Linked DNA regions of Pelodiscus sinensis. The protein of the gene in region 1 interacts with the protein of each later gene in a pairwise test. Links are inferred from orthologs where the notes say so. Each region holds a gene or a part of one and is shown on either strand. Other genes may lie near its edges.

Region 1 (10,870 bases):
ATCCCTAGTTCATTCCTTCTGGGGCACCTAGCACTGACCACGGTCAGAAGACAGGATACTGGAACTTTGGTCTGAACAAGTATGGACATTCTTATATTAAGCTCTCCTAGCTGACAGACTTCAAAGGAAGAGGCAACAGGCAACAGACAGGTTAGAATTTTTTTTTTTTTTAAATCAAAGGCCACTGAATGATCAGTCAGCCCAGAAATTTGTCGATAAAGGTGCATGAATCCTCCCTATCTTACAGCTTTTACCAAGTCCAGGTTCCATTTTTGCTAGATAAGGCCTAAGTGCTAACTGACTGTAGCTGAACTACCATCTTCATCTGTAGCCAGCAAGGCCTCTGCACTATCCACAGCCCACCTCTTTGATTATGCTCGCTCTGGTTTTGATACTCCAGTAGCCTCAGCAGAGATCAGCTGTTCTAGGCATACATTGTCCAGAATCCCAGCTTCTTCCACAAGACCATCTTCAAAGCTAAATTATAAAGCACTTCAATGAGACCAGATTTTCAGACAGCATGAAAGATTCTCCTGTTGCTGCTCTGCCACGAGGTGCCATAAGTGCAAAATTGTAAGGCTAGGCCTGCCTGGCTAATTGAGACAACTGACTCACCAACCTTAAGCACTCTAACGAAACATCAGCATATTTAAACATACACCACCAAGAGGAGCTTGCAGGAAACAAGATTGTCCACAAATACTAGCTGGATTCTTAGCCTGTTGGAAGGCAGCATGAATTCAGAATGATATAAGTGGGGGTAATAAACGTAAATAACACAGATATCAATCCTCATTCTTTGTTCTGCAATCAGCGTATGTTTGCAAAGAGGTTCTGAATCCAAGTGCAGCTGCAAAAGAAAAGATTTGGGAAATCAGGGATGAGACCCACTGCATGACCACTGTCAAGTCACCAAATCTGAGTCTGGGTTTCCCCACCTGCAAGATGGGAATCACAATCATTCCTTGCTTCTTGGTTTCAGTTATGAACAGAGAATCTTACTAGATTTGGACAGCCCCAAGCTAGCATAATAGGATCGGAGAGTACGGAGCTGAGATACTATGTTCTTTGTGGGAACAGCAGATTTCAATACAAATCTAACCACTGGCATTTCATTTTAATACCTCAAATCAGAAAGGTGACTGCATAACAATAGCATTTTTCACATGAACCCCCGGGCTCTGCCTCTGAGAATCAAGGTTCTCAAAGATATTTAGCCTGTCAAATTCCACAGACCCTTTTAAGGAACTGGACTTTAGTTCCTAGTGCTATTAACCCATCAGGCACCAGTGTCCAATACAGACACAGGAATATTCATATAGGTTCCAGCTGCAGCAGTTTTGATTCCTTGCACAGGGTCATAAATTTACACCACATTCTGAAAGATGAGTCTGCAGAGAACATGCTCAAATTTGAGTTCCCAGGCGAAGAGGGGCATCTAAGTTTTGCCTTTGGTTTAGCAGGTCACAAAGACATTTTTGGAGAATAACCAAGCTTTATGAGTTTTGATAGGGTCAGTCTTCAAAGATGAAAATAACGCAGCTTGCCAAACTTTTATCCAACCTTGTTCTGTGGCAGTAAGAGAAAGCCATTCAAGAACAAAATCTGCTTCCTTAAGGCAGCACCCTCACAGGTATTTTCAGCCATCAGGGATTATGGAGGCAATCACATGAAACCACCACAATGGCTCTAGGGCTCAGAAAGAAGCTAGGAAATATTGACTGCCCATCCTGCTCTGGCCTAAAAACTACACTTGAGAGAAAGCAAGATCTAGCAGAAAGGACAACAGAGGGAACTCAGAGACTATTCCCAGAAGCCCTGACCAGCTTGGTGTGTGAGTTGAGCAAATCCTTTCACTTCCGAGGTTGTTCTGCCTCCCCTGCTCTGTTTAGACAGGGATGGTGCACACATAGTGTACATTATGAATGCTGAACAACTGGCCCCACCATAGCATAAGTGAACATACAGAAATTTCCACTGATTTCAAGTCAGTCTAAGAAGAATATGACCTCAGATTTGTAGAAGGGGCTACAAATCACGCTATTCCTCTCCCCATGAAACAAGAGAACTCAAATCCTTGGCCCATTCACAAAGAATAGAGTGGGATGCAATCTGATCACATTAAGGGATCTTGCATCAGATACTAATATGTAGCACTTGTCACAGCATCAACTTGATTAGGCATTAGAAATTGGAGGGATGGGTTCTGCTATTCAAGTGACTTCAGTCCCATACAAGGCACATCCAGCTGCCTGTGGAGTTCTGGCAGAGAAGAGCTGAAACAAACATCTGGCTGATTCGGAGAGTACTGCAGCCTTTCTTTTCCTTGGACACAATAAAGGTTAGGATCACTGTAACCTGACTGGCCAGTGGCACGATTTGAACCCTCCCAGATTTTTGTTAAGGAAGGGAGCTCTGAGCCCTGCAATAGCTGGATTTAGGAGGCAGGGCTGGGCTTGAGAGACAATGTGAGAAGGAGCACTGAGGAGGAGTTCCTGTGGGAAAATGAAGGGATCTGTGAAATAATTGTGCTTGTAGTTCTAGAAGAGAGGCAACATGGGAAAGTGGATATGGAAAAGGAGAGTCCGATGCAAAAACTACAATGAAGAAGCAAAACTTCTAAGAGGTCCAGAGAAAAAGGAGGAAAAAATTGGAGTGTGTGTGTGGGGACAAACGGGTTTATGTAGAACTTAGAGACAAGGGGGAGGAAGGCACAGTGCACCACAGGCTAAACTGGGGTTCCCACAGCCATGCTGCATTCTCTCCATGTTTTGACGCCCACCTGAATCAGGGCCCTTAAGGATGCCCATTTAGCTCAGTGACTCTCCACCATTAGGAGGACCTCCAATCCCCAGTGACTCAGTAACAAAAACTGCATGGGATCCCTATGAGAGGAAAACCTCAATGCTAAGGAAGGGGAGAGTTCTGTGTGCCCATCCCATAGGTCCTTACTGAGCCATGCAGGGTCCTAAGTCCTTCAGTCATGCTCCAACACCTTCCCTATTCCCTCCCACTCCTCCCCACAACACAGACACACACCATCCACATGTTTACCCACATAGTCCTTCCCCCTCTCTCTCCAAGCTGCTATTAACACCTCAAGGCCCTTTGCTTCAGAGCCCGCAGCCACCTGACCCCCTCAGTTACTTACACCCCTAGACTTCCCACTTTTGCCCAGATCCTTCCAATTTTATTCCCCCCTCAAATCTTACTCTTAAGCCCCATCCACTTACCTGCTTCTCACTATGGTCTCCATATTGACAGCTGTAGTTTCCATTCTCCCTGCTGTCAGTTACTCTTTCAGGTGATCGCAAACCCAGCCTCTTCTCCCATAATGCCCCTCACCCAACAGTTATCCTCCAGTCACCCCACATCTTACCTCCAGCCCCACCCCAGGACCCCAGTAGTCCACCCCTTTCTCTAAACCTTCCCAATTCCCTGTTCCATCTAAAAACCCCTAAGCCTCTCCCACCACGTGGCTTGCACGCCACTGTTCCCCCAGTTACTTTCCCACCATCTCCTCATCATACCCAAAATTAACTTCCCTAACCGGCCCTCAACAATTCATTCACTTACCCATGCCTTGTCTTACCTCCCCACCTTCCTTCACCCCATCACACATCCACTCCCAAACACCCCACTACCTCCTCGCCATTCACCCCATCATACATCCTCCCTACACACTCCACTGCCACCCAATCCTCTGTGATCTCCCCTCCCGCCACACAGGAATACCCCTGCCCCCCTCACTAGACACCCTCCCCCGCCTCCCATTCCAACCACCAGCTCCTCTATGACCTGCCTTCCCTCTTTCCCCCACTCTCCACTATCCCCTCCCTCTAACGGCCCTCCACACGCCTTTCTGACCTTCCTCTCCCTGGGGCCTGCCTCGCCCTGCCACCCTCCCCCCTCCCACAAAACACTCCCCCCAAAGACCCCCCCACCTGTATGACCTCTTCCCACCCGGGGCCTTCCCCACCCTCTCCAATCTTACACCCTCACCAGACACCCTCCCCAAAACCCTTTACAGTCTCCCCCACCCATTCATATACCTCCTCTCCCTCATTTGCCAGTAGCATCTCCCCCAACGGCCCCCATCCTTGTGCAACCCCCTCCCCACACCGAGGCCTGCCCACCAGTCTCGTACTCCCGCCAGACACTCAACCCTCCACTCAACCCCGCGCGCTGACCTTGTAGAAGGCGCCGTTGGAGCCGCGAAGCTCCACGGGCAGCCCCTCCATGGGCCCGGCCACCGCCGCCCCGCCGGGGAGGGGCCCAGGCCCCGGGAGCCGCCCGGCGCCGCGGGGGGGGGAGGAGGCAGCGCCGCAGGGTCTGGCCCGGGGGGGGATGGGAGGCGCCGCGGCCCGCTCCCGCTCCCGCTCCGGCTCCGCCACCGTGAGGCAGGGACCGACCCGCCGCCGCCGCTACCGCCTCACACCGCGCGCGCGGCCCCTCCCCCTTCGCGCGCGTACACCGCGCAGGCGCGGCCGGGAGGGGCGGGGCACGCGCGCGCGCCGCTCCACCAATCGCCGAGCGCCAGCCCAGGTCCGCTGGCCAATGGAAGAACGCAACTCTACTACCAACCAATCGCGACCAGCGTGGCTAAGCTAGGCGCGTGCTCAAGCCCCACCTCCCAACGAGAAGACGTCGGGTTCGCCAAGGACGCGCGCCCGCCCCGCCCCTCTGCCAGGACACCCAATCGGTGGGCCTCCCTGCTCCCGCTGACCAATCAGCATGCCCCCGCTTCTTTCCCACCTACACCGGCAACCAACCCTGGCCCCGCCCCGCTCCCAAACCAAGAAACGCCCAGCGTTTGGCCCGTACCCAATCACGGGCCGGGACCCGCCCCCAACCGCGCGGCTTCCGCGCTCCGAATTGGCTGCACTGCGAGATCAATCAAATGGGGCAGCTGGGGCCCCAGGCCCTGCCCCCGGCATTCTACGGCCTAGGAACATGGTGGGAAAGGGGAAAATATCCCACAGTTCCCTGGGCCTCTAGCCCCTCCGTATTCCATAATCCCCAGGGGCCTCCGAGCCCCCCAACTTCCCAGTCTCCTTAGACCCTCATCCCGCAGTCCTCTAGGGCTCTGTGGGCTTCCCTGGTATCCCACAATCTCCCAGTACCACCCCCATGTCCCACAATCCCTGAGCGCCCCGCCCCGGTCATCCAAGGCCTGAATGATTCCATATGCTGAGTGCATCAGGTGCGAGGGGGTGGATTCTATGGTTCCATTGGGGCGTTCTGGCTGCATGTGGGAGGTGTGAGAGACCAGTCTCTATGGTTCCAATGAGGACGCCTTAGCAGCACTTACTTGGTGGGTGTGGGACGACGGACTCTATGATTCTGACTGATCCTTGTTAGGTGAAATGTGCTTCATAAAATTCAGCTGAAGGTCTGAAAAATGTCACCCCAAATAATTACATTTGGGCAAAATTACAGGGAACCGAAAACGGTCTCATGGTGAGTGACCATAACTGCACTATCCGGATTCTCATTCACTGACCATTTTGAAATCAAGGACTGTTTTTCTGAACGACCAGCTGTAGAAAGTACTGAGGGGAACGTCTCCAGCCTGCACTGTACAGCACGGAGCACACTGGGGATCCACCCTGGTGGGTGTCCAGGCATCGTGAGGAGACACTAGGATAGAGCTCTGCAGTAGGTGGTGCTATTGATCCCTGCTGGCCTGGGGATCTAGGAGTGAGAGAATAGCTTGGAAACATGACAGGAGTGCCCCCTGCAGGCTCACAAGTACAGTCAGGCCAGAAAAGGCAGGCAAAAACAAGCAAAGAGGATTTGGTCTCAGTGGGAAAATTTTGATTTTCGGAAGATATTTGAATACTGAGAAATCTACCTATCCCCATGTCTACCCATCTAACCCCATATACTTCCCTCTATCCATCCATCTGTTCCCCTCACCACTGCTCTCTCTATCCAGCCCTATGACCACAAGGGTCCCTTTAGGCTTGCCCGCTTCCCAGGATTTCCAATAAGGTTCTCTAGCCCAGCATCCTGCCTTACAACAGTGGCCAGCACAGGAGGCCCCACAGGGTCCCAGCCTCTGGCACTAAGCAGCTTGGGGCTAGGCTGGCTCAGGAGAGATTTGGGATTGTGAGGTCTGGAGCCTGGATCTTTCCCAGCACCATGTTCAGATACTGCTCAGCTCAACACCACAACCTGCCACATGGGGCTGAGCTTTCCAGGGCAGAAGGATGGTAAATGACATGGCTACATACACAGGAGCAGGAATGTTGGTGGGGTACAGTGGGGCAGGACTGAGGTGCACCAGCAGGCCTGGGGAGGGGTGACTGGGTATCGTTGCCTCGACCCATCAGCCACAGTCAGTCAAATTGATCTGAGGTGCTGAGGTCGGGTCAGGGTCCCACTATCAGGGTCACTGTATGGCCTCCTGGGTGCCACAAATATCCCTCCCCACAGGACCACAGGCTGGGTCAGAAACCAGCCCCTGTGTCTGTGTGTATTGTGTGTATGTGTGCACAGCACAGTGCATGTGTACCGGGCAAGTGTGTGTATATATAGTACTCTGTGTGTAGCAAGAAAGCGTGTATGTACACAGTACTGTGTGTGGGTACTGAGCATGTATGCATGTACACAGTAATGTGTGTAACACACAAGTGTGTGTTTGTGTACCAAGAAAGTGTGTATGTTTATTTACACAGCACTGTGCATGTGTACCAGGAAAGTGTCTGTGTGTGTGTTTACACAGTGGTGTGTACCGTATGTTTGTTATGTACCCAATGCTCTGTACCAGTAAACTGGAAAAGCGTGTGTGTGTGTGTGTGTACAGAGAAAATGTGTGTGTACAGGGGTGATAGCAGAGAGTGTGCATGGGGGGGCACAGGCTGGATGTGGGGATGGGAGGAAGGAAGCAGGACAGGAGAAGAAAGAGCTCTGTGTGTGTGTGAGAGAGAGAGAGGCAGAGATGGGAAGAAGGAAGGAGAGAGGAGGAGAAGGATGGATGTATATGAGGACGAATGCAGGGATGGAAGGGAGGAGGAAGAGCTGGAGGAGGACACTGTGGAGGGGGGGCAGGATCTGAGCTCACAGACGCCCATTAAGTCACACCCGGGGGCGGGAGTGGAAGGGGGGGGGCTCGTCACATGAGCAGCCTGTGACCCAGCCGCCGGTTCAGGAGAGCACTGCATGGAGCTAGGGGAGGGACCCGGCCACCTCCCCCCCCTCCCCATCGACCCCACCCCAGAGCATCCCCAACTAAAGGTTTGTGCATCTCCGGGCTGGGAGCCAGGACGCCTGGGTTCTCTTCCCAGCTCTGGGAGAAGAGTGGGAGCTGGCGGTTCAGGACTCCTGTTTCTCTTTCTGGCCTATGGAGAGGAGTGGGGGCTGGTGAGTTGGAGCGGGGGCTGGGAGCCAGGACTCCTGGGTTCCTCTCTCCCCAGCGCTGTGAAGGGGGTGGGTCTGGTGGCCAGGAAATCCATTTAATCTCCTCCATTCAGCTACCTTCCACCTGGGGGCTAAGGCCCGCCCTCCTAGGAACGCGCCGGCTTAAATGATCCTCTCCCAGCATAAGCTCCTTCTTCCTTGTCTCCTCCCTGAGTCCTCGGGGGCAGCCTGACGCACAGCCTACAGCCGGTGAGCTTCCGCCCTCCAGAAGTTTGCCCCCACCCCCACCCATTTACCCTAGAAGAGAAACCAGGAACAGGGGTGTCCTCCCCATCTCTGGGGGTGGGGGGCTGAATTTGGAGGATCCACGCCCATTGGGTGTCTCCTGAATTTGGTTTGCTCTTTCCTGCATCTGACTTGGATTAATTTTTCTCCTCGTTGATTGCTCCCAAACCGGGCTGACTTTAAAGGTTCATACCCCAGTTTTTAAGTTGCTTCAGAGAGAGCTTTTAAACAAGAGTGTGCATTTCCTGTCTCCATTTAATCATAAGAATCTAGCCTGGTATTTTTTAAGAGTTCAAACCCACTTTCTTAGCTGTCTTTTGAAGTTTCCCAGCCATCTGCTTTGTGCATCAAAACACAGATAAATTTTTCTACCTGTTAAATAAAGCACCTGGGGAGGTTTGTATGGTACAAACCCAATTTTCTCTCCTTATTTCAAAGGCAGATCTACAGTGGGATTCAGAGCATGCTTGTGCATTGCAGCAGGACTGAAGTCTTTTCCTTTTAATCTCTGCAATTTTAAGGCTGGCATTCCCAGCCCTGTGCAGTATGGCAGACTAGACCATGTAACTGGTGTTTGTAGAATTTCAGGCCAAAGGGGAGATGATCTAGCTAGATTTTGGGGTGAGGGATTGCAGGGGTGCCTGAGGAGGGGCATGGGAGCTGGGGAGGAGAACTAGGGAGAAGAGGGGTTTTGCCAATAATGCCTCCTTCCCCTCTCCCAGGGTGACCAGGCCCCCCTGCCATGTCCACTGAGAGCTCCCCTCTGTTGAGCTACCGGCTCTTCAGCGTGGTGGACGAGGGGGAGATGCCAAGCAGCCGGGCCCAAGAGGAGGCACCCCTCGTGGGTGGGGGCATAGGCCCCCTGGGCCCCCCACAGCCTGACCCGGCCCGACGGCTCTCCACTTTCTTTGGCGTCGTGGTGCCCACAGTGTTGTCCATGTTCAGCATCGTTGTCTTCATGCGTGTGGGTGAGTGACTCTACCCTGCTGATTAGTGCATGGTTATTGGCAAAAGCCCTCTTCTCCCTCCTCAACTCCCCCCCCCCCCCAAAGGAAACTTCTCTGCCTCCCATAGGATTCTCTCCCTCCATCCCCTGCCCACATTGTGTGCTGCCCTTAAGAATAGCAGGAAACCTCCGTCCCCATCCCCACTGATGCATGCTTGATTTCCGGCCAAAATCATGTGGTGGGCTAATGGGGGCTTGGCCCATACTTACCCCTTGCTGCCTCCAACCCAGCTGGCTGTTCAGCTTCTTGTCACAATTAGCAACTGATTCATCCGGGTTGGTTGTGCATACATTCCATCGACATCATAAGGCATGGAATTCCCTAGATCACTGGTGCCTGCATACTTGTACCTTATGGGCACTGAAAGCCAATTCCTTATTGTAATTAGTGGCTTACTAAAGGTGAGCACCATTAAACAGGAGAGGTTCGTGCTTAACCGGGATGTGGGCCCTAAGGCCATGTGGATGGGCCCAATCCTGGAAGCTATATAGAGGGCAGAATTCTGGGCTTGCCCTCCGTCCAGTTCTGCCAATGCCCCTCCCTTCTTACCTGCAGCTCCCTATCTGTCATCTCTTAGGTTTCGTGGTGGGACATGCTGGGTTCCTGCAGTCGCTGCTTATGCTGGTGGTAGCCTATGTCATCATTTTACTGACCGTCCTGTCTGTCTGTGCCATCTGCACTAATGGTGCCATCCAAGGGGGTGGGGCATATTGTATCCTTCCGCCAGCGGGCTGGTACATGGTGTGCGGGGTGGCCAGAATTACAGCCAGTTCGTTGGCTCCTCTCAACACCCTCCTATGGGTAAGGGGGGGGGGCTGTGTGCCTCAGTGTGGGATGGGGTGATTCCAGGTGGGGGACCAGGCCTCTGCAAGGGAGAGGGGGTCAGCTAGAAGTAGCCGAGGGGCCCTCTAGAAAATTGGGGGCTAGGGGTATGTAGGCTGTGTTGGTTGGATGAGGGCAATGTGATTACAGAGGGGGTCTTTGGGGTGAACACTGGGATGCGGGGATGTATAGAAGGCCGTCTCTGGGGGGATGGGGAGTAAAACTCAAGGGGGCTAGATCTGAGGGGAATGTATGAGGGTTTGGGGAGATCTGTTTATGTTCGGAGTCTTTGGGGGCAGACATTAGGATGTGGAGGAGGAGAGATGGGGGGCAGGACATTGGCTGTGGAGCCAGGTAGGGATTGTCTCAATGGGGGAGAAGAGACTGACTATAGCTCTGTCTGTGGGCAGTGGTAGTGGCAGCAATTCTCTCTTCCTCCCCCCCCATGGCGTTTCCTTGACAACTGCCCCCCCAGTCATGATCTCGCGGACGCTGGGCCCCGAGTTTGGGGGCAGCATCGGGCTCATGTTCTACTTGGCCAACGTCTGCGCCTGTGGGGTTTACGTGCTGGGGCTGGTGGAGGCTGTGCTGGACGTCTTTGGGGCAGGTGAGCCCAGACGCCGGGGTGCCTCCCCAGAGGGCTGGTGGATTAGAGCGGGGGGGCTGGGAGTTAGGACTCCGGGTTCTCCTCTGCCCTAATGGTCATTCCTGTCCTTCCCATCCCCTCCAGATGGGACAGATCCCCCCGGCGCCCATGCCCTGCCCCAGGGCTATTTCTACAGCTTCCTGTATGGCTCACTCGTGCTACTGCTCTGTTTGCTGGTCTGCCTGGTGGGTGCCCGCATCTATGCCCGTGCTGCCTTCCTCATCTTCCTGGTGGTGAACCTGGTGCTGCTGGCCATCTTCCTCAGCTTCTTCGTGGTGGGGCCCCGCCCGGTGCCCGTGGCCCGTGATGTCAACCACACCTTCAACACCAGCTTCACCGGCTTCCGCCTCGACACCCTGCGTGCCAACCTGCATGGTCAGCAGGGGCAGGGCACAGGGGGATTCTGGGGTGGGGGAAGGAGCAGCTCAGATGGAGGAGGGGCCCAAGATGTTGAAGGGAGGGGGGATGGCAGGGGGTAGGAGGGAGAGGGATACAAGGGGGTGTGGAGGGACAGAATGGGTTTGGGGGCTGTCGAGAGATGGAGTGGGGCAAGTCTGGGATGGGGAAGCAGAGGGGAAAGGGGGGCATAGGCTGGGGTGGTAGCCATGTGCCCTCCTCTACATGCCATCAGCTGGAGAAAGCAAACACTGGAGGATGGTGGAGGGAGGGAGCTGACATGGAGCTGTTGCTGGAGGAGGGATCATGAGATATGGGGGGCTTGGGACCTAGGAGGGGGTCCTGCTGGCGC
Region 2 (10,512 bases), on another chromosome or scaffold:
AGGTGCTTATTAAGCATTTTCATTTAAAAGCAAAACCTCTTCAGCTATCTTGGATTTCCCTATTTTAATCTGTCACCTTAGGTGGCACCCAGCTACTGAAGCAGCAGCATGTTTGTTAATGCTGAAGTATAAATCTGTGTTACTAATGTAGTCATGCTAAGTGAGGACACTTAGTAGTATTCAAGGAACTTCATGGCCCAATACTCAGGAAAATGGTCTGTGAAGAGACTTATTTTTCCTGTAAGTCCGGGAAGAGCTGCTATGGTGGGTTCTACCAAGACATGTGGCCATGTCACTTGATGCTGGAATCCATCTTGGGTGCTGTTATTTTTCCACTGAAAGCAAGGACAAAGTTTAAACAAGATGACAAAGGATTTCTGCAGTTTGTAAAACCTAGAGTGGTCCCATTCAGGAAGGCTTTTCATATTAGAACAACTATGAGGGTGACATATTACATGTAACCAGTAGGGATGTGAACAGTCAAGCATAACAGTTGAGCCTTGCCATTCACCAGTAGGGGCAGGAGCAGCTCTCCTGCCTGTTGAGGGCAAGGGACTGCTCCAGCCCTGCAGGACCCACTGCAGGAAGGTGCAATCTCTGTCCATAGTGGGCGCAGCCTGGCTCTCCCCACCACACGTTTAACCAGTTAAATGGAATTTCACACCCTTAGTAACCAGTTCCTTGGCATATTAAGCTTTGTCTGCGTGTCGTGTTCTGTTTTATTTTGCTTAGTTACCTACTTTGCTTTGTTTGCTCTCTCTTATGATCACTTAAATCCTACATTTTTTTATTTAATAAATCAGTTATGTTTACTAATAAGCCCAGTGTGAATAACTCTTACTTGGAGGGACAAGGAGTCTGTGTATATCTCTTTACATTGAGAAAAGGGGCAAATTTCATGAGCTTATCCTGGACTGTCCTCTATGCAGCATAAGATGGCTGTGTCTAGACTGGCCAGTTTTTCCGGAAAATCGGCTGCTTTTCTGGAAAAACTTGCCAGCTGTCTACATTGGCTGCTTGAATTTCCACAAAAGCACGGACTTCCTACTGTAAGAAATCAGTGCTGTTCGCGGAAATACTATGCTGTTCCTGTTCCGACAAAAGTTTTGCGCAAAAGGGTCAGTGTAAACAGCTCAGATTTGTTTTCCGCAAAAAAGCCCCGATCGCAAAAATGGCGATCAGGGCTTTTTTTGCACAAAAGTGCGACTAGATTGGCCACAGACGCTTTTCCGCTAAAAGTGCTTTTGCGGAAAAGCGTCCTGCCAATCTAGACGCTCTTTTCCGAAAATGCTTTTAATGGAAAACTTTTCCGTTAAAAACAACATTTCCGGAAAATCATGCCAATCTAGACGTAGCAGATGGGTTTATCTAGGATTAAGCTCCCAGAGGGGCTGGGTATCTCAGTGCTGGAGAGAGGAATCTCACTGTGCTGTCTTCAGTTAAGGCCTGCAGTTTTGAGGGGCTTGGCCGGGACTCTGTGTGTTGCAGCATACTAGCACATCTGACTCAAGACAGGATACTGGAGGCCCAACCTGGCAGGGAAAACAGGTTCAGTGGTGTCTCAGCACATCCAAGTGCAATCCCAAAGGAGATCCCAATATAAAGGGATCCTAGTTTTCCATGATAAAAATAAGATGCTCTTTGTTAGTTTCTCAAGCCATAATGTACAGTGGAACCCTGTTTATAAGATCTGATTGGGACTGGGACCAGATCAGATAAGCAAAAATTCAGATAATCTGAAAATGTACACAGAGCCATCCAGGTATCCCATTGACAGCCTAAGCCATATGCCTGGGGCTAGCGCTTTTTGCCTGGTCTCTGAATTATCCAAACTTTTGCTTATCAAGTGTAGCCCTGAGCTCACTATACTTAAATATATTTGTATTTTTTTCATAAAATGTAAAAACTAAAGATTCTTTTTAAAAATGCAAATTTCACATTTTCTCATGGCGAATGGATTTCCGGGATCCCTCCTTATAACTTCTCAAAAGCTCTTATTTCTGTGGGACTTATGTGTTCAGTTCTCTTCTGTTTTATGAGACTCAACAATGCAATGGTATAGCACTAATGCAGCAGCTCCAGAAGAAAAACAAGCTCCTTTACTGAACAGAACAATAGGCGCATTTTTAAATATCATTTTGACAATTTCACTCACACATGTTTCTTTAGTAAATATTTTTTTCCACTGTTCATGGTGGCGTTAGAAGAACTTTCCTTTAAATGCCTTCTTTTCTTTTGAGGTGCTCCTCTCTTCAAGAGCTTGGCTTTAACTTTAAACTGAAGTGACATTGTCAATGTTGATAAGCCTGATGTTTGACCTATTTGTAACTTATAATTTTTTGCAACACTCGTGTACAATTGTATTTTCTTCAAAGAAATGCTTCATTGGTTTTCTCCAGAGGAAAAAAAAATTACCTGCCAGAAAGCAGCCATAAAAGAACTGAGTACACATGGAGGAAAGTAAATCATTAAATGGTTAATTTAAAAAAATAAATCTAACTGCTCAGTACTACAAGTTTTCTGGCAGAGCCGCATCAATTAAATATGATTTAAATAATTAAATGTATTCATATTTTGCATTTGCACTTTTCTTAAAGACCGTTTGATTCCCCAATGGGTAAATGTTAAAATATGTAGATTTGCAAGTAACTACATCTTTTACATGAAGGCTAAGTCTATGCTGGCACTTTACTGCACTATTCTGGCTCAGCTGGTGAAGAACACACACAGACACAGACACACACACCAGGGAACAGTGCTCCTCCTGGTGGAGGTGGTTTACTTAGAGCTGTGGTCACACTGCCACCTTAAAGTACTGCCACGGCCCCGCTTTAAACTTTCTAGTGTAGACAATGCCTTAATGTTGTGCTTTTTTTTTTTTTTTTTTTTTGCTAACAAGGATACATTACATCTATACATATGTAAGCAATTATCTAACAACTATTTATCAGATTACTAATTTTTTGCTGGATTGGTCAAGTGTCATTTGAATTAAATTAAAATTAAACCAGGAATGCACAAACCCAGCACTTAAACTTGTGCTAGATTAATAAAAAAAATTTAAAACATTTTGCATTTAAACTGACTAGAGAGTGAACTTATCTGATTGACTGCCCCCATCCTTCAAAATTTTAGAACTAGCAGATCCAATTATTTTACATATCATTTTTATTCAGATTAAACTTGCACTGCTTAACATTTTTTATTTTGTTGAAATATTAAATAGATTAAGGCTGACAAACGGTCAATTTCAAATATAATTTTAAATATTTATTAAACATTTAAATAAATCAGATTTAATAAAAATCAGTTTTAATTTTTTTTAGAAGCATGAATTTTTATTCAGTTTTCTAATGTTAAAGCTCTAAAAATCTCCATTTTAAACATCTTCACTGTGCTGATTTTTAAAGATAAACTGAAAGGATTAGGGTGTTCAAATCAAAGACATACTGGAGCAAAACTTTAGGCTTTTCTGATGAGTCTTTTCATAAGAGGGCTGTTGGCAAGTGAAATGCAGTATAATACTGGTATCAACACCAAGGCTATCAAACCAACAGCCATATAATGTAACAGGTCTTTAATCACAACACAATTCCTTTGTTTGATGTAGATGGATACTCCCAAATAGTAAAAACATCTTTGTCTGTACCAAGCTTTGTAAAGGTCCCAGAAAAAGTTACTCTGCCATCTATCCTATACAAAGAAACCATAATGTAGCCAGGTGTATTCATCACGGGGTCTATGATATATCTGTAGACCCAATATTAAACTACTTACCTTTTCACCCTAACCATATCCACAATAAGGCTCAGTAAATATTTACCAAAGAATTTCTGCAGGTTATTGCCTGCCTATGCCCAAAGCAGATTTTAAAATAAACTTCAAATACTGAGTGCTAATGGGAAGAGTGACTGCCCCATCCATCTTCCCTTCCCACTCTACTACAGAAATCTTAAGCAGCAGCAGCAGCTAAAACTATTTCTCCTTAAGAAACCTAGGCATTTTGCATTACACAATGATGGACGGAATGCATTACAAGACTAACAAGTAGAAACAAAAACTACAGTTCCTCCATTTTGATACACATTTCAATAGACACACTCAAAATCATTACTTTTACTACCAATACTTAATCTTATTTGTTCTATGACCACCACATAACATGCTGATTAAAAGTTGCTGATGTGCGGTTTTCAATGTGTGCTTTGCACAAGATCTTTAATCATGCAATTATGTTAAAAACAGTTATTTAGATCCTGTTTTTGCTTCAATACGATTGTAAATATTTCTATACACCCCAAAATTCAAGACAACTATTTCTAGCTCTTTGAATGTTAACATTTTGATGTAATCACTCCTTGCTCTGCCCCTCTAGGGCAATTCCTCTCATGTTAAGCCAGAGCCCTGTACATAAGCACTGTCGAGGGCCGCTGTAAGATTTTCGTGCGCTACTGTCTCTGTGCCTAAGAACATTTATGCATAAACCCGGCAGCGCTACGGACTCAGCGCCTGTGAGAAGGCCCCGGCCCCATTCTACTCCCAGCAGCAGCTCCCGGGACCGGCTGGAGCCGGGCGCGAGCAGCAGCGCGCTCTGGGCCTGGCCGCGCGCTCCCGGGACAGGGCCGGGCGGGATTCCCGCGGGCGGTGCAGCGGCCCGGCAGGAAGCGCCGCGCCCGCAGCCACGCGGGGCCCCGGCGCAGCGCCCGCCATGAGCACGCGCCCGTCCCGCCCTTCGCCGGCGCCTCCGCCATTTGCCGGCCCGGCCGGGCAGGCCCGCCCGCCGCCGGCCGTTACACAATGGCCAGCGCCGCCCCACGCGGCCCGGGAAGCTTCCAGAAGCGCCGGCCGGGCCGCGCCCCAGCCCCCCGCCGGGCGCCCTCCCCCCGGAGCTGGGGCTGGAATCGGGCCCGGCCCCCGCCCAGCGCCGCCCGGCCCGGCCCGGCCCCGTCGCTCACCCGTCGACGCCATTTTCTCGCCTTCCTCCTCGTCCTCTCAACGTCTGGTCGCTCTGCCGCGCGCTCGTGCGCATGCGCACCCTTTCCAACCTCGGCTCCTACCACTCGGCACCGGGGGGAGCTCACTACAGTTCCCTGCCGCATCCCGCTGCCCGGCGCCGCCCCCGCCAAGGAGCACACGGGGTCTGCAAGGAAAGCGAGAGCGGCCACGCAGATGCCGCTGCAGCCTTTCTCCCCTTCGGGGTGGCGAATGGTTCAGTCCATCCCAGCAAGGGAGCGTCGTTCAAGAGACGCGCTAGGGAAAGGCAGACTAGGCCTCAGCGGTGGGGGAAGGGAGCGCGGGCAGCGCGCAGCCAGGGTGCGGGGCGAGGCGTGCATGGGTCACATTGAGCTAGCCTGCAGTGCCGGGGACATGGAGCACTGGGGTGCCGCTGTGATGTCATTGCACGGTCACAGCGCGCCTCTGTGATGTCATTGCACGGTCACAGCACAGCACTGTGATGTCATTGCACGGTCACAGTGCGCCTCTGTGATGTCATTGCACGGTCACAGCGCACTGCTGTGATGTCATTGCACGGTCACAGTGCGCCTCTGTGATGTCATTGCACGGTCACAGCACAGCACTGTGATGTCATTGCACGGTCACAGCGCGCCTCTGTGATGTCATTGCACGGTCACAGCGCACCGCTGTGATGTCATTGCACGGTCACAGTGTGCCGCTGTGATGTATTGCACGGTCACAGCGCGCCGCTGTGATGTCATTGCACGGTCACAGTGCGCCGCTGTGATGTATTGCACCGTCACAGTGCGCCGCTGTGATGTATTGCATACAGCTGTGGGTAGAGCTCTGACGTCATTGTGCGGGTTTCAGTGCAATGAGCTAATGTCATGGGGGAATTATGCCATGTCCGTACCATGTTAACCGTGAAATAACACTGTGTGGGCCTTACCAGTTAAGCGGTGGCTCGACCGATGTGGGCAGAACCAGCCCACAAAATTTTGGCACTTGAGGCGGGAAGCTCAAATGACGCCCCCATGTTCCCTTGCTGCACCAGCAGCAGAAACAAGTTTCTACACCCTGGGTCCTAGTGGCGCCACCGCAGAGTCTGGCACCTGAGGAGGCCGTCTCAGCTCGCCTCACGGTAAGGCCAGCCCTGGCGTGGGCCCAGCCTAGCCCAAGTAGCCTGTGGCATTGCAGGCCCTTGGCGCTGACCAGAGCCCCCCCTCGGCCTTAGCGCTGACCAGAGAGCGACAGGCCCCCCCTCGGCCTTAGCGCTGACCAGAGAGCGACAGGCCCCCCCTCGGCCTTAGCGCTGACCAGAGAGCGACAGGCCCCCCCTCGGCCTTAGCGCTGACCAGAGCGCGACAGGCCCCCCCTCGGCCTTAGAACTGACCAGAGAGCGACAGGCCCCCCCTCGGCCCTTAGCGCTGACCAGAGAGCGACAGGCCCCCCCTCGGCCCTTAGCGCTGACCAGAGAGCGACAGGCCCCCCCTCGGCCCTTAGCGCTGACCAGAGAGCGACAGGCCCCCCCTCGGCCTTAGCGCTGACCAGAGAGCGACAGGCCCCCCCTCGGCCTTAGTGCTGACCAGAGAGCGACAGGCCCCCCCCTCGGCCTTAGCGCTGACCAGAGAGCGACAGGCCCCCCCTCGGCCTTAGCGCTGACCAGAGAGCGACAGGCCCCCCCTCGGCCTTAGCGCTGACCAGAGAGCGACAGGCCCCCCCTCGGCCTTAGCGCTGACCAGAGAGCGACAGGCCCCCCCTCGGCCCTTAGCGCTGACCAGAGAGCGACAGGCCCCCCCTCGGCCCTTAGCGCTGACCAGAGAGCGACAGGCCCCCCCTCGGCCTTAGCGCTGACCAGAGAGCGACAGGCCCCCCCTCGGCCTTAGCGCTGACCAGAGAGCGACAGGCCCCCCCTCGGCCCTTAGCGCTGACCAGAGAGCGACAGGCCCCCCCTCGGCCTTAGCGCTGACCAGAGAGCGACAGGCCCCCCCTCGGCCCTTAGCGCTGACCAGAGCGCGACAGGCCCCCCCTCGGCCTTAGCACTGACCAGAGAGCGACAGGCCCCCCCTCGGCCCTTAGCGCTGACCAGAGAGCGACAGGCCCCCCCTCGGCCCTTAGCGCTGACCAGAGAGCGACAGGCCCCCCCTCGGCCCTTAGCGCTGACCAGAGAGCGACAGGCCCCCCCTCGGCCCTTAGCGCTGACCAGAGAGCGACAGGCCCCCCCTCGGCCCTTAGCGCTGACCAGAGAGCGACAGGCCCCCCCTCGGCCTTAGCGCTGACCAGAGAGCGACAGGCCCCCCCTCGGCCTTAGCGCTGACCAGAGAGCGACAGGCCCCCCCTCGGCCTTAGCGCTGACCAGAGCGCGACAGGCCCCCCCTCGGCCTTAGAACTGACCAGAGAGCGACAGGCCCCCCCTCGGCCCTTAGCGCTGACCAGAGAGCGACAGGCCCCCCCTCGGCCCTTAGCGCTGACCAGAGAGCGACAGGCCCCCCCTCGGCCCTTAGCGCTGACCAGAGAGCGACAGGCCCCCCCTCGGCCTTAGCGCTGACCAGAGAGCGACAGGCCCCCCCTCGGCCTTAGTGCTGACCAGAGAGCGACAGGCCCCCCCCTCGGCCTTAGCGCTGACCAGAGAGCGACAGGCCCCCCCTCGGCCTTAGCGCTGACCAGAGAGCGACAGGCCCCCCCTCGGCCTTAGCGCTGACCAGAGAGCGACAGGCCCCCCCTCGGCCTTAGCGCTGACCAGAGAGCGACAGGCCCCCCCTCGGCCCTTAGCGCTGACCAGAGAGCGACAGGCCCCCCCTCGGCCCTTAGCGCTGACCAGAGAGCGACAGGCCCCCCCTCGGCCTTAGCGCTGACCAGAGAGCGACAGGCCCCCCCTCGGCCTTAGCGCTGACCAGAGAGCGACAGGCCCCCCCTCGGCCCTTAGCGCTGACCAGAGAGCGACAGGCCCCCCCTCGGCCTTAGCGCTGACCAGAGAGCGACAGGCCCCCCCTCGGCCCTTAGCGCTGACCAGAGCGCGACAGGCCCCCCCTCGGCCTTAGCACTGACCAGAGAGCGACAGGCCCCCCCTCGGCCCTTAGCGCTGACCAGAGAGCGACAGGCCCCCCCTCGGCCCTTAGCGCTGACCAGAGAGCGACAGGCCCCCCCTCGGCCCTTAGCGCTGACCAGAGAGCGACAGGCCCCCCCTCGGCCTTAGCGCTGACCAGAGAGCGACAGGCCCCCCTCGGCCTTAGCGCTGACCAGAGAGCGACAGGCCCCCCCTCGGCCCTTAGCGCTGACCAGAGAGCGACAGGCCCCCCCTCGGCCTTAGCGCTGACCAGAGAGCGACAGGCCCCCCCTCGGCCCTTAGCGCTGACCAGAGAGCGACAGGCCCCCCCTCGGCCCTTAGCGCTGACCAGAGAGCGACAGGCCCCCCCTCGGCCCTTAGCGCTGACCAGAGAGCGACAGGCCCCCCCTCGGCCTTAGCGCTGACCAGAGAGCGACAGGCCCCCCCTCGGCCTTAGCGCTGACCAGAGAGCGACAGGCCCCCCCTCGGCCCTTAGCGCTGACCAGAGAGCGACAGGCCCCTCGGCCTTAGCGCTGACCAGAGAGCGACAGGCCCCCCCTCGGCCTTAGCGCTGACCAGAGAGCGACAGGCCCCCCCTCGGCCCTTAGCGCTGACCAGAGAGCGACAGGCCCCCCCTCGGCCTTAGCGCTGACCAGAGAGCGACAGGCCCCCCCTCGGCCCTTAGCGCTGACCAGAGAGCGACAGGCCCCCCCTCGGCCCTTAGCGCTGACCAGAGAGCGACAGGCCCCCCCTCGCCCTTAGCGCTGACCAGAGAGCGACAGGCCCCCCCTCGGCCTTAGCACTGACCAGAGAGCGACAGGCCCCCCCTCGGCCCTTAGCGCTGACCAGAGAGCGACAGGCCCCCCCTCGGCCCTTAGCGCTGACCAGAGAGCGACAGGCCCCCCCTCGGCCTTAGCACTGACCAGAGAGCGACAGGCCCCCCCTCGGCCCTTAGCGCTGACCAGAGAGCGACAGGCCCCCCCTCGGCCTTAGCGCTGACCAGAGAGCGACAGGCCCCCCCTCGGCCCTTAGCACTGACCAGAGAGCGACAGGCCCCCCCTCGGCCCTTAGCGCTGACCAGAGAGCGACAGGCCCCCCCTCGGCCCTTAGCACTGACCAGAGAGCGACAGGCCCCCCCTCGGCCCTTAGCGCTGACCAGAGAGCGACAGGCCCCTCGGCCTTAGCGCTGACCAGAGAGCGACAGGCCCCCCCTCGGCCTTAGCGCTGACCAGAGAGCGACAGGCCCCCCCTCGGCCCTTAGCGCTGACCAGAGAGCGACAGGCCCCCCCTCGGCCTTAGCGCTGACCAGAGAGCGACAGGCCCCCCCTCGGCCCTTAGCGCTGACCAGAGAGCGACAGGCCCCCCCTCGGCCTTAGCGCTGACCAGAGAGCGACAGGCCCCCCCTCGGCCCTTAGCGCTGACCAGAGAGCGACAGGCCCCCCCTCGGCCCTTAGCGCTGACCAGAGAGCGACAGGCCCCCCCTCGGCCTTAGCGCTGACCAGAGAGCGACAGGCCCCCCCTCGGCCTTAGCGCTGACCAGAGAGCGACAGGCCCCCCCTCGGCCTTAGCGCTGACCAGAGAGCGACAGGCCCCCCCTCGGCCCTTAGCGCTGACCAGAGAGCGACAGGCCCCCCCTCGGCCCTTAGCGCTGACCAGAGAGCGACAGGCCCCCCCTCGGCCTTAGCGCTGACCAGAGAGCGACAGGCCCCCCCTCGGCCTTAGCGCTGACCAGAGAGCGACAGGCCCCCCCTCGGCCCTTAGCGCTGACCAGAGAGCGACAGGCCCCTCGGCCTTAGCGCTGACCAGAGAGCGACAGGCCCCCCCTCGGCCTTAGCGCTGACCAGAGAGCGACAGGCCCCCCCTCGGCCCTTAGCGCTGACCAGAGAGCGACAGGCCCCCCCTCGGCCCTTAGCGCTGACCAGAGAGCGACAGGCCCCCCCTCGGCCCTTAGCGCTGACCAGAGAGCGACAGGCCCCCCCTCGGCCCTTAGCGCTGACCAGAGAGCGACAGGCCCCCCCTCGGCCCTTAGCGCTGACCAGAGAGCGACAGGCCCCCCCTCGGCCTTAGCGCTGACCAGAGAGCGACAGGCCCCCCCTCGGCCCTTAGCGCTGACCAGAGAGCGACAGGCCCCCCCTCGGCCCTTAGCACTGACCAGAGAGCGACAGGCCCCCCCTCGGCCCTTAGCGCTGACCAGAGAGCGACAGGCCCCCCCTCGGCCTTAGCGCTGACCAGAGAGCGACAGGCCCCCCCTCGGCCTTAGCACTGACCAGAGAGCGACAGGCCCCCCCTCGGCCTTAGCGCTGACCAGAGAGCGACAGGCCCCCCCTCGGCCTTAGCACTGACCAGAGAGCGACAGGCCCCCCCTCGGCCCTTAGCGCTGACCAGAGAGCGACAGGCCCCCCCTCGGCCTTAGCACTGACCAGAGAGCGACAGGCCCCCCCTCGGCCCTTAGCGCTGACCAGAGAGCGACAGGCCCCCCCCTCGGCCCTTAGCGCTGACCAGAGAGCGAC

What was found.
Region 2: the proteins of FXR2 (region 1) and EWSR1 interact in a two-hybrid assay, tested with the Homo sapiens proteins (2 studies listed by BioGRID and IntAct). The link is inferred for Pelodiscus sinensis from reciprocal best matches to the Homo sapiens genes FXR2 and EWSR1.

The regions. Positions count from the first base shown.
Region 1 is NC_134734.1:9,202,439-9,213,308, reverse strand, and holds the start of FXR2 (RNA-binding protein FXR2), read right to left. Parts: upstream 4,452-10,870; 5' UTR 4,191-4,451; intron 1-4,190. Other genes in the region: SLC12A9 (solute carrier family 12 member 9), read left to right, coding at 8,390-8,615, 9,232-9,366, 9,952-10,083, 10,207-10,497. UniProt on the Homo sapiens protein: mRNA-binding protein that acts as a regulator of mRNAs translation and/or stability, and which is required for adult hippocampal neurogenesis. Specifically binds to AU-rich elements (AREs) in the 3'-UTR of target mRNAs.
Region 2 is NC_134725.1:5,537,520-5,548,031, reverse strand, and holds the start of EWSR1 (RNA-binding protein EWS), read right to left. Parts: upstream 5,070-10,512; 5' UTR 4,969-5,069; coding exon 4,956-4,968; intron 2,181-4,955; exon of another isoform or gene 2,160-2,180; coding exon of another isoform or gene 2,156-2,159; intron 1-2,155. UniProt on the Homo sapiens protein: Binds to ssRNA containing the consensus sequence 5'-AGGUAA-3'. Might normally function as a transcriptional repressor. EWS-fusion-proteins (EFPS) may play a role in the tumorigenic process.